Canis lupus familiaris: one gene and its partner. The protein of the gene in region 1 interacts with the protein of each later gene in a biochemical or structural test. Links are inferred from orthologs where the notes say so. Each region holds a gene or a part of one and is shown in the gene's direction. Other genes may lie near its edges. The genes, in order: PTEN and PRDX1.

Region 1 (4,527 bases):
GGGACGGACGCCCGCTCTCGGGGGCGAGGCCGGGGCGGCGCGGTGGTCGCGTCCCCGGGGTCCTGGGCCCGCGGCGGCGGGGGTGGGGCGGCGGGGCGAGCCGGGGGCGGGGACACGCGCGGAGACACAATGGGGGGAGTTCCTCGGGCTCACGCCGACACGCGGGGGGCGGACACGCGGGGGGCGGACACGCGAGGGACAGGCACGGGGGGACACGCGGGGGGACACCGACACGCGGGGACACAATGGCGGTGTTCCTCGTGCTCACGCCGACACGCGGGGGACGGACACGCGGGGGGCACAATGTGGGTGTCCTCGTGCTCACACCAATGCGGGAGGGACGGGGGAACACGCGCGGGGGGTGCTCGTGGTCACACCGACACGCGGGGAGCAGGCACGGGGGCAGTGGCCACGCGAGGGCCATAGTGGGGGTGTTCCTCGTGCTCGGACACGCGGGGAGCGGACACGCGGGGGCACACGGGGCGGACACAGGGAGCTGCGGGCGGGGGAGGGGCGCCCCGGGTCCGCTGGCCCCGCCCTCGCCCCCTGCGCCCCCGGTGCGCGGCGACCTCCGTCCGACTCGGGTCCCCGACGCCCCCGCCCGCCCGTCCGTCCGTCCGCCGCTGCAGGAGCGGCCGCGGCAAGTGCAGCTCCGGGGGCCGCTCGCACTGGGCATGCGCGGCGGTCGCCCCCCGCCCCTCCCCCCGCCCGGCCCCGGCCCCCCCCGGCCCCCGCCTCCCCCCGCCTCCCCCCGGCCCCCGCCTCCCCCCGGGCTCCGGGGCGCCGGGCTCGCGGCGGCGGCGGCGGCGGCGGCGGCGGCGGCGGCGGCGGCGTGGCGGGACTCTTTGTGCGCCGCGGCAGGATACGCGGCGGGGCGGGCGTGCGCGCTGCTCGGCGCCTCGTCTCGGAAGCTGCAGCCATGATGGAAGTTTGAGAGTTGCGCCGCGGAGAGGCGAGGCCGCGCGCAGGGAGGGAGATGAGAGACGGCGGCGGCCGCGGCCCAGAGCCCCTCTCAGCGCCCGTGAGCAGCCGCGGGGGCAGCGCCCTCGGGGAGCCGGCCGGCCGGCGGCGGCGGCAGCGGCAGCGGCAGCGGCAGCGGCGGGCGGCCCGCCCTCGGCCTCGGCCTCGCGCTCGCGCCCGCGCCCGCCCCCCCGCCCGCGCCCGCGCCCGCGCCCGCCCGCGCCCCCGCCCTCGCGCCCGCCCGCGCGCCCCCGCGCCCGCCCGCGCCCGCGCCCGCCCGCGCCCCCGCCCGCGCCCCCCGCGCCCGCGTCTAGCCGTGCTCCCGTCGCTCGGCGCCCCGCGCGGGGGACCGTGGAAGCCGCGGGCCCGGCCGGGCGGCGGCGGCTCCGGGGAGGGGGCCGCGGCCGCCGGCGCCCCGCTGCCCCCCCCGCTCCCGCCCGCACCACGGCGGCGGCGGCGGCGGCGCGCGCAGGGCCCCGGGCCGCCCGAGAGCCTGCCCCCCGCCGCCGCCCGGCCGCCCGGCCCCCCGGCGCCGCCCCGGCCCGCGGCCGCCAGCCCGCCTGAGCGCGCGCAGGCCCCGCCGCCGACGCCCGCCCCGGCCGCGCGAGGGCCGCCCGCCGCCAGGCCCGGGGCCGCCTGCAGCCTGCGGAGGAGGCCGCGCCGCCCGCCGCTCCTGCCGTCTCTCTCCTCCTTCCTCTCCAGCCACCGGCTCCCAGACATGACAGCCATCATCAAGGAGATCGTCAGCAGAAACAAAAGGCGCTACCAGGAGGATGGGTTCGACTTGGACTTGACCTGTATCCCTTTCCGCGCGGCCGCGGGCCCCCGCACCCGCACCGGGACCCCGCACCCGCACCCGCACCCGGGACTCGGGACCCCGCGCCCGCACCCGCACCCGCACCCGCACCCGCACCCCGGACCCCGGCCTCGGCTTCCCCGGCCCGGCCTCCGACCTCGGCCTCGGGGCTCCGGCCCGGCCTCCGACCTCGTTCCCGGCCCCGGCCCCGGCGCCCCGGCCCCGGCGCCCCCGGCCCCTCCGCCCCTCCGCCCCTCCGCCCGGCCGCGGCTGTCGGGCGGCGGCGGGTCCCGGCCCTGCGCGCGCCCGGCCCCTCCGGAGGGCCATTGTCCGCGCCCGCGGGACTCGGTGCCCCTCGGCGGACCCCGGAGCCGGGAACCCGGGCTGCCCGACGCGCGGAGGGGACGCGGCGCCCGGGCTCCGGGGTCGAGCACGTTTCGGTCAAACCTTGGCTTTAGGCCCCCAGATCGACGGCACAGATTAGATGAAGATGAAAATTAGCGTTGCACGTATGCAGATTGCATCAGAATCTCGCAGTGATTTAGTTTCCTGGGTTGCTCGCATTGATAGACTTTTTTTTTTTTTTTAATTCGTAATGGGAGTTGTGAGCTGATTTGCATAACTTTGGAAGCAGAATCGCTCTCAGCACTCGGGGCGTTCGTTGGAGGGCACAGAAAGTAGGTTCGCGTGTGCTCACGCCGAGTTGAATTACAACCGGGAACTGCCTCTCCCAAGTTGTGTAGTTCGCGATCAATAGTGTCACAGGTAACGCACGTCCTGAGCCGCTCTTGCTGCTCGGTCTTTCTGAAATTTGCCTCCCCCTCCCCCTCCCCCCCTCCCCCCTCCCTTGATGGGGTGATCCAGGACAGGGCATGGGATTTTGCAGCTCAGCCGCATTTTAGGTTCAGTGGTCTTGTCTCACGTAGCAGAATGGGGATTGACTGCTTCTTGATGCCGGAGGAGCGTGTTGTGTGGGTTCTGGGGTATTGTGTGCAGCAAATCGTGATTGCAGACATGAAGCTTCAGTTCTTCCTTGAAATGCAAGTGCCACTGCGAGTCCAGAACTGCTGCTCACCTCATCCAGCTTTCAGGACTCCTGACGCCGCGTGATGTCCGTTAATTGTACTCGGGCTCGGGTGTAAGGTCAGGTGTAATTTACCAGCTAATCACCAGCAACGCAGGCAAGAGCGGATCACTCCAGCTTCGCATGGTCTAGGTATGTTAGCTGGTTTTCCACACAGTGTCTTGAATTTACTGACTCAGGTTGTTGAATGACACAGAAACCCGAGAATTTTTAACAGGAGTATCGTTTCGGTTGCCTAAAAGTTAGGCCTTTGTACCTGAAAAGATAGCGGTTATTGAAAGGCATTGATCTTGGCAGTTTCAGGTATAATGAACTGGTTTTGATCAAGAGTTGGGGCAGAGAGCCCTCCTTTTTTTTTTTTTTTTTTTCCCCCAGAATGGAAAGTATCACAGGCGTTCAGCGTTCCTGCTTAGGCCAGTGTCTAAGGCATGAAAAACAGAATTGACTTGTGGGTCTGAGATGCCCACAGCATCTTATTAACAAGGCCTCTGTGAAGGCCAGAAGTTTGGTGATGTGAATTATAACAGTGGACGGTATTTAGTTCAAACGTGATTGCGTCGGTTGTTATTGGAGGATTCTTAATAAAGATCATTTTTAGCGAACACCAGTAAACATTTTGCCTAAAGGTGGAGTGGCGCTGAAGGATCCATATGTCCTGCTAAACACTGTGGGGAGGATTTGGTTTTTGAAGAAAATTCTTTACATCTGAAGAGGTTTTTTTTTTTTTTTTTTTTTTTTTATAATTCCCTTTGGATTACATAGCAGCACATAAACGTGCACAGCTAATTCTGCCCAAGTGTCTGTTTTGAGCTGAAGGTAAAAGTCACCGAAGAAGGAGCTTTCTAGCACACAAAACGTAAGTTTTCTGTTGATTAAAAAATTATGTATTAGAAGACTATTTAGAAGTTTTGGAGTCTGCATTGATTGCAACACTGGTCAGGCTGAACTTGACCCGCTTGCCTAGAAGGTGACCAGTTGCTGGACAACTTCTGATTTGTAATTTATTTCAAAAGCAATCTAGCGTTAGTGTGAACTGACAGCCGTCTGGGTGTATAGGAACAAATTGATTACACGTTTCTTTGACTTTTTAGGAAAAAATCCCCGTGCAAAAACCAATGTCTGTGGATGCTGTTTGGTAGATTGCTTTTATCATTCAGAGTAGGTTTATTTTTACGTTACCCATTTGCTCTAAAATAGTCAGGGCTTTAAGATTCAGATCGTTCTGCGGGGTTCTTACACAGGAGTCCTGAGCTGGTTGGCCAGCTCGCCTTTGACTTCACAGGTGTGTGCCTCCATACCTGAAATTTACGTGACCTAGAGACTGTTACTAGAAGGGTACTTTTAGTTAGGGTGTGCATAGAAAGCAGTGTCAGACGCTGCGTCAAATGACTAGTAACACTTGATTTCTAGAGTTGTGGTTTTATTGAGCCAAATATATGAAAAAAAAATCATTTAGGAAAAAGTCAGTGAAGGGCTCTTTTTTTTTTTTTTTTTTTTTTTTGTTAGTTGGACTTCCAATAATTTTGATTACACCAGTGCACTTTGGTTTGCTTGGTTTCGCTTTAGGGTTCTCTGTGTATTGTGGGGGGAAATTAAGGTGGCCATTGAGGACTTTGGCAGGTTGTAGTGTCTGCTTCAGCAGCTAGCCTGTGAGAAGTTACGTTCCCTTATGAGAGTAGTGATTGGA
Region 2 (3,804 bases), on another chromosome or scaffold:
GAGACCCGGAATCCAGTCCCATGTCAGGCTCCCTGCAGGGAGCCTGCTTCTCCCTCTGCCTGTGTCTCTGTCTCTCTGTCTCTCTGTCTCTCTGTCTCTCTCTCTCTCTCTGTGTGTCTCTCACGAATAAATAATAAAATTAAATCTTCAAAAAAACCCCAAGCAAACCAATTGACTTGAGAGCCTTTTGGAGAAAGGTAGAGGCCTGATCTGTAAACTCTTTTTCTTTTCCCCCCCTCAGTTAATTTGCTGAACAATAATTGACTTATATCACTATATAAAATTTACTTATTTTCAATTATGTTTTTATTTTTAGAGAGGGGGCAGAGAGAAAAATCTCAAGTAGAAGTAGACTCCATGCTGGAGCTGGACATGGGGCTTGATCTTTTGACCCTGAGATCATGACCTGAGCCAAAATCAATAGTTGGATGCTAGGGTGCCTGGGTGGCTCAGTGGTTGAGGGTCTGCCTTCAGCTCAGGGCATGATCCCAGAGTACTGGGATGGAGTTCCACATTGGGCTTCCCAAGGATCGTGCTTCTCCCTCTTGCCTATGTCTCTGCCTCTCTCTCTCTCTCTCTCTCTCTCTCTCACTAAAGAAAAAAAAAAAGTTGGATGCTTAACTGAATGAGCCACCCAGGTGCCCCTCTTAGTTATTTTTTAAAGATTTTTTTTTAAGATTTTATTTATTTATTGAGACGGGGGAGGGGGGGCAGAGACACAGGCAGAGGGAGAAGCAGGCTCCATGCAGGGAACCCGACATGGGACTTGATCCTGGGTCTCCAGGATCACACCCCGGGCTGCAGGTGGCCACGCTAAACGACTGTGCCATCGGGGCTGCCCTATTTTTTAAATATTTTGAGTCCACTCTACCTAACGTGGGGTTTGAACTCACAACCTCAAGACTGAGTTGCATGCTCCACTGAGTGACCCAGCCAGTACTCCCTTTAATGTATAAACTGTACAACACGATGATTTCATTTCATTATTCCTTTAAAAAAGAAAGAAAAGTGGCTCAGTGGTTGAGTGTCTTTGTTTCATGTACACATACATTTTTTTTTTTAAGATTTTATTTATTCATGAGACATAGGCAGGGAGAAGCAGGCTCCATGCAGAGGGAGCCTGATGGGGGACTCAATCTCGGGACTCCAGGATCATGCCCCTATAAATACAATCTTAAAAAAAAAAAAAAAAAGCATAGGACTCTGATCTTGGTGTAGAGATTGGTTTTTCTTTTCACAGAGAAAGAGTCAGACACATAGGCAAAGGGAGAAGTAAGCTCCCTGTAGTGAGCCCGATGCGGGACTTGATCCCAGTACCCTGGGAACAACATGACTTGAGCCAAAGGCCAGATGCTCAACCAGTGAGCCACCCAGGTGCCACCCCTGCCCTTTTTATTTTTATTTTATTTTTTTATTATTATTTTTAAAGACCTATTTATTCATAGAGACAGAGAGAGAGAGGCAGAGACACAGGCAGAGGGAGAAGCAGGCTCCACGCAGGGAGCCCAACATGGGACTTGATCCTGGGTCTCCAGGATCACACCCTGGGCTGAAGGTGGCACTAAACTGCTGAGCCACCTGGGCTGCCCTTCTTATTTCATTCTCTATGCAGGAAGAAGACAAAGCCAGTGCAAGTCTGGGAGAGGCCAGCAGATAATCCTTTCTATTGAGTTTGTGTTCTAACAAAGCGATTTCTAAACCTGTGTTGCATTTCCCTCAAACTTTCAATCTCTTTTTCCCAGGGGCCTCTTTATCATTGATGATAAAGGTATCCTTCGGCAGATCACTGTAAACGACCTTCCTGTTGGTCGCTCTGTGGATGAGACACTGCGACTGGTTCAGGCCTTCCAGTTTACTGACAAGCATGGGGAAGGTAAGCCAATCCACCTGCTGACTTGACAACAGAATGGTAGGTAGGATAGGAAAGATGGCAGGAACAAGGTCTACCAAATAAAAGTGTCTTTTCAAGAAATTAAAATCTCTGGATTATAGTGGGTGGTTTGGTGAGGTAATGGAAAAGTTCAGGGAGGATAATATAAAGGCATTTTGTTGAAGCTGCATAGTTCCAGCTTTTGCCCTGCTCATTTAGAATCACTGTTGCAGCTGTTAACTTACTAAAGGCATGTAGGAGGATCTCCTAGGTGTGTAGAAGGGCAAAACGAAAAGTTTGAGAATTCCATCTTGACATATAGCATGCCATTCTTGACAAGTGTTTATTGGGAGAAGAGATTAATCCCTTTGATCCATATTCGTTGTACTGTTTTTGTTTTTGTTTTTTAAAGTAATACATGGCCCTGGGCCAAAGACAGGCGCTAAACCGCTGAGCCACTCAGGGATCCCCCCCCCCTTTTTTTAAAATTTAATTTATTCATAAGAGACCCAGAGAGAGGCACAGACAAAGGCAGAGGGAGAAGCAGGCTCAATTCCATGCAGAGAGCCTGATGTGGGACTGGATCTCCAGGACCACAGCCTGGGCTGAAGGCAGTGCTAAACCACTGAGCACCTGGGCTGGCCCCCCCCCCCCCCCCTTTTAAAGAGTTATTCATGAGAGACAATAGGCGCAGAGACACAGGCAGAGAGAGAAGCAGGCTCCATGCAGGGAGCTCCATGTGGGACTTGATCCCAGGACTCTGGGATCTACGCCCTGGGCTGAAGGCAGGTGTTTTTCCTCTGAGCCACCTGGGCATCCTAGGTTGTAGCTTTTTGAGTTTTACCCCCTCTTGGAGTGGAGTATAGTTGTTGATAGAATGAGACAGTCTTACCCTAAGAGTGAGTTTAGTTTTTAAGGGCTTAAGTCCTGAGGCTGCAAGTGCTTGGTCTGTGGGGTATGGAGAACCTCATAAGCTCTCAAATTTCATGTAACTGAGGACAAGATAGTTACAATGAAGTGCTACTGATGTCGGATGAAGTGCACAGGTGTACTTGGTTTGAATTTGCCTTAATACTTTTTCTTTTAGGTGATAAATATTTCAGACTAATTTTCTAAAGCCCATTTCAGCTCTGATTTTGTGATACAGAACATGGAAGTTAAGAGTCTGAATTAGTGGTGTCTGTTGGGGGGACCCAAAAGTAGTGGCTTGCCTAGAGTGAAAAGCTAACATGGATCAGTGACCATGATACCCAAAGGCACCATTTGCTGCAGCATGTGTGGACTCTTAGTGTATTGAAGCAGATAGATGGCTGCTGAGACTGCCCCCTGGTGGGGGATGAGATTCAGCACAAAGACTGAGGGAGCTGGAGAGTGGCAAAGTCCTTTGTTGGACTTTTACTAGTTCCTTGCATGTAGGCTAGACTTTTTTTTTTTTTTTAAGATTTTTTTATTTAGGGATCCCTGGGTGGCGCAGTGGTTTGGCGCCTGCCTTTGGCCCAGGGCGCGATCCTGGAGACCCGGGATCAAATCCCACATCAGGCTCCCAGTGCATGGAGCCTGCTTCTCCCTCTGTCTGTGTCTCTGCCTCTCTCTCTCTCTCTCTGTGACTGTCATAAGTAAATAAAAAAAAAAAAAAAAAAAAAGATTTTTTTATTTATTCGTGAGAGAGACAGAGAGAAAGAGGCAGAGACACAGGCAGAGGGAGAAGCAGGCTCCATACAGGGATCCTGATGTGGGACTCCATTCCGGGACTTGAGGATCATGCCCTGGGCTGAAGGCAGGTGCCAAACCTCTGAGCCACCCAGGGATTCTCCCCGCCCAGGCTAGACTTTTGAACCCAAGTTTTGATAACTCTGAAGCTTCAATCTTCAGTCTTGGTTTGGTCTCTTCTCATCTCACAAGAACAGGCACAGCTTTCTGTGTGCAGCCTTTAT

The links.
Region 2: the proteins of PTEN (region 1) and PRDX1 form a complex in vitro, tested with the Homo sapiens proteins (2 studies listed by BioGRID and IntAct). The link is inferred for Canis lupus familiaris from reciprocal best matches to the Homo sapiens genes PTEN and PRDX1.

The regions. Positions count from the first base shown.
Region 1 is NC_049247.1:38,116,691-38,121,217, forward strand, and holds the start of PTEN (phosphatidylinositol 3,4,5-trisphosphate 3-phosphatase and dual-specificity protein phosphatase PTEN), read left to right. Parts: upstream 1-1,570; 5' UTR 1,571-1,678; coding exon 1,679-1,757; intron 1,758-4,527. UniProt on the Homo sapiens protein: Dual-specificity protein phosphatase, dephosphorylating tyrosine-, serine- and threonine-phosphorylated proteins.
Region 2 is NC_049236.1:14,937,244-14,941,047, forward strand, and holds part of PRDX1 (peroxiredoxin-1), read left to right. Parts: intron 1-1,742; coding exon 1,743-1,873; intron 1,874-3,804. UniProt on the Homo sapiens protein: Thiol-specific peroxidase that catalyzes the reduction of hydrogen peroxide and organic hydroperoxides to water and alcohols, respectively.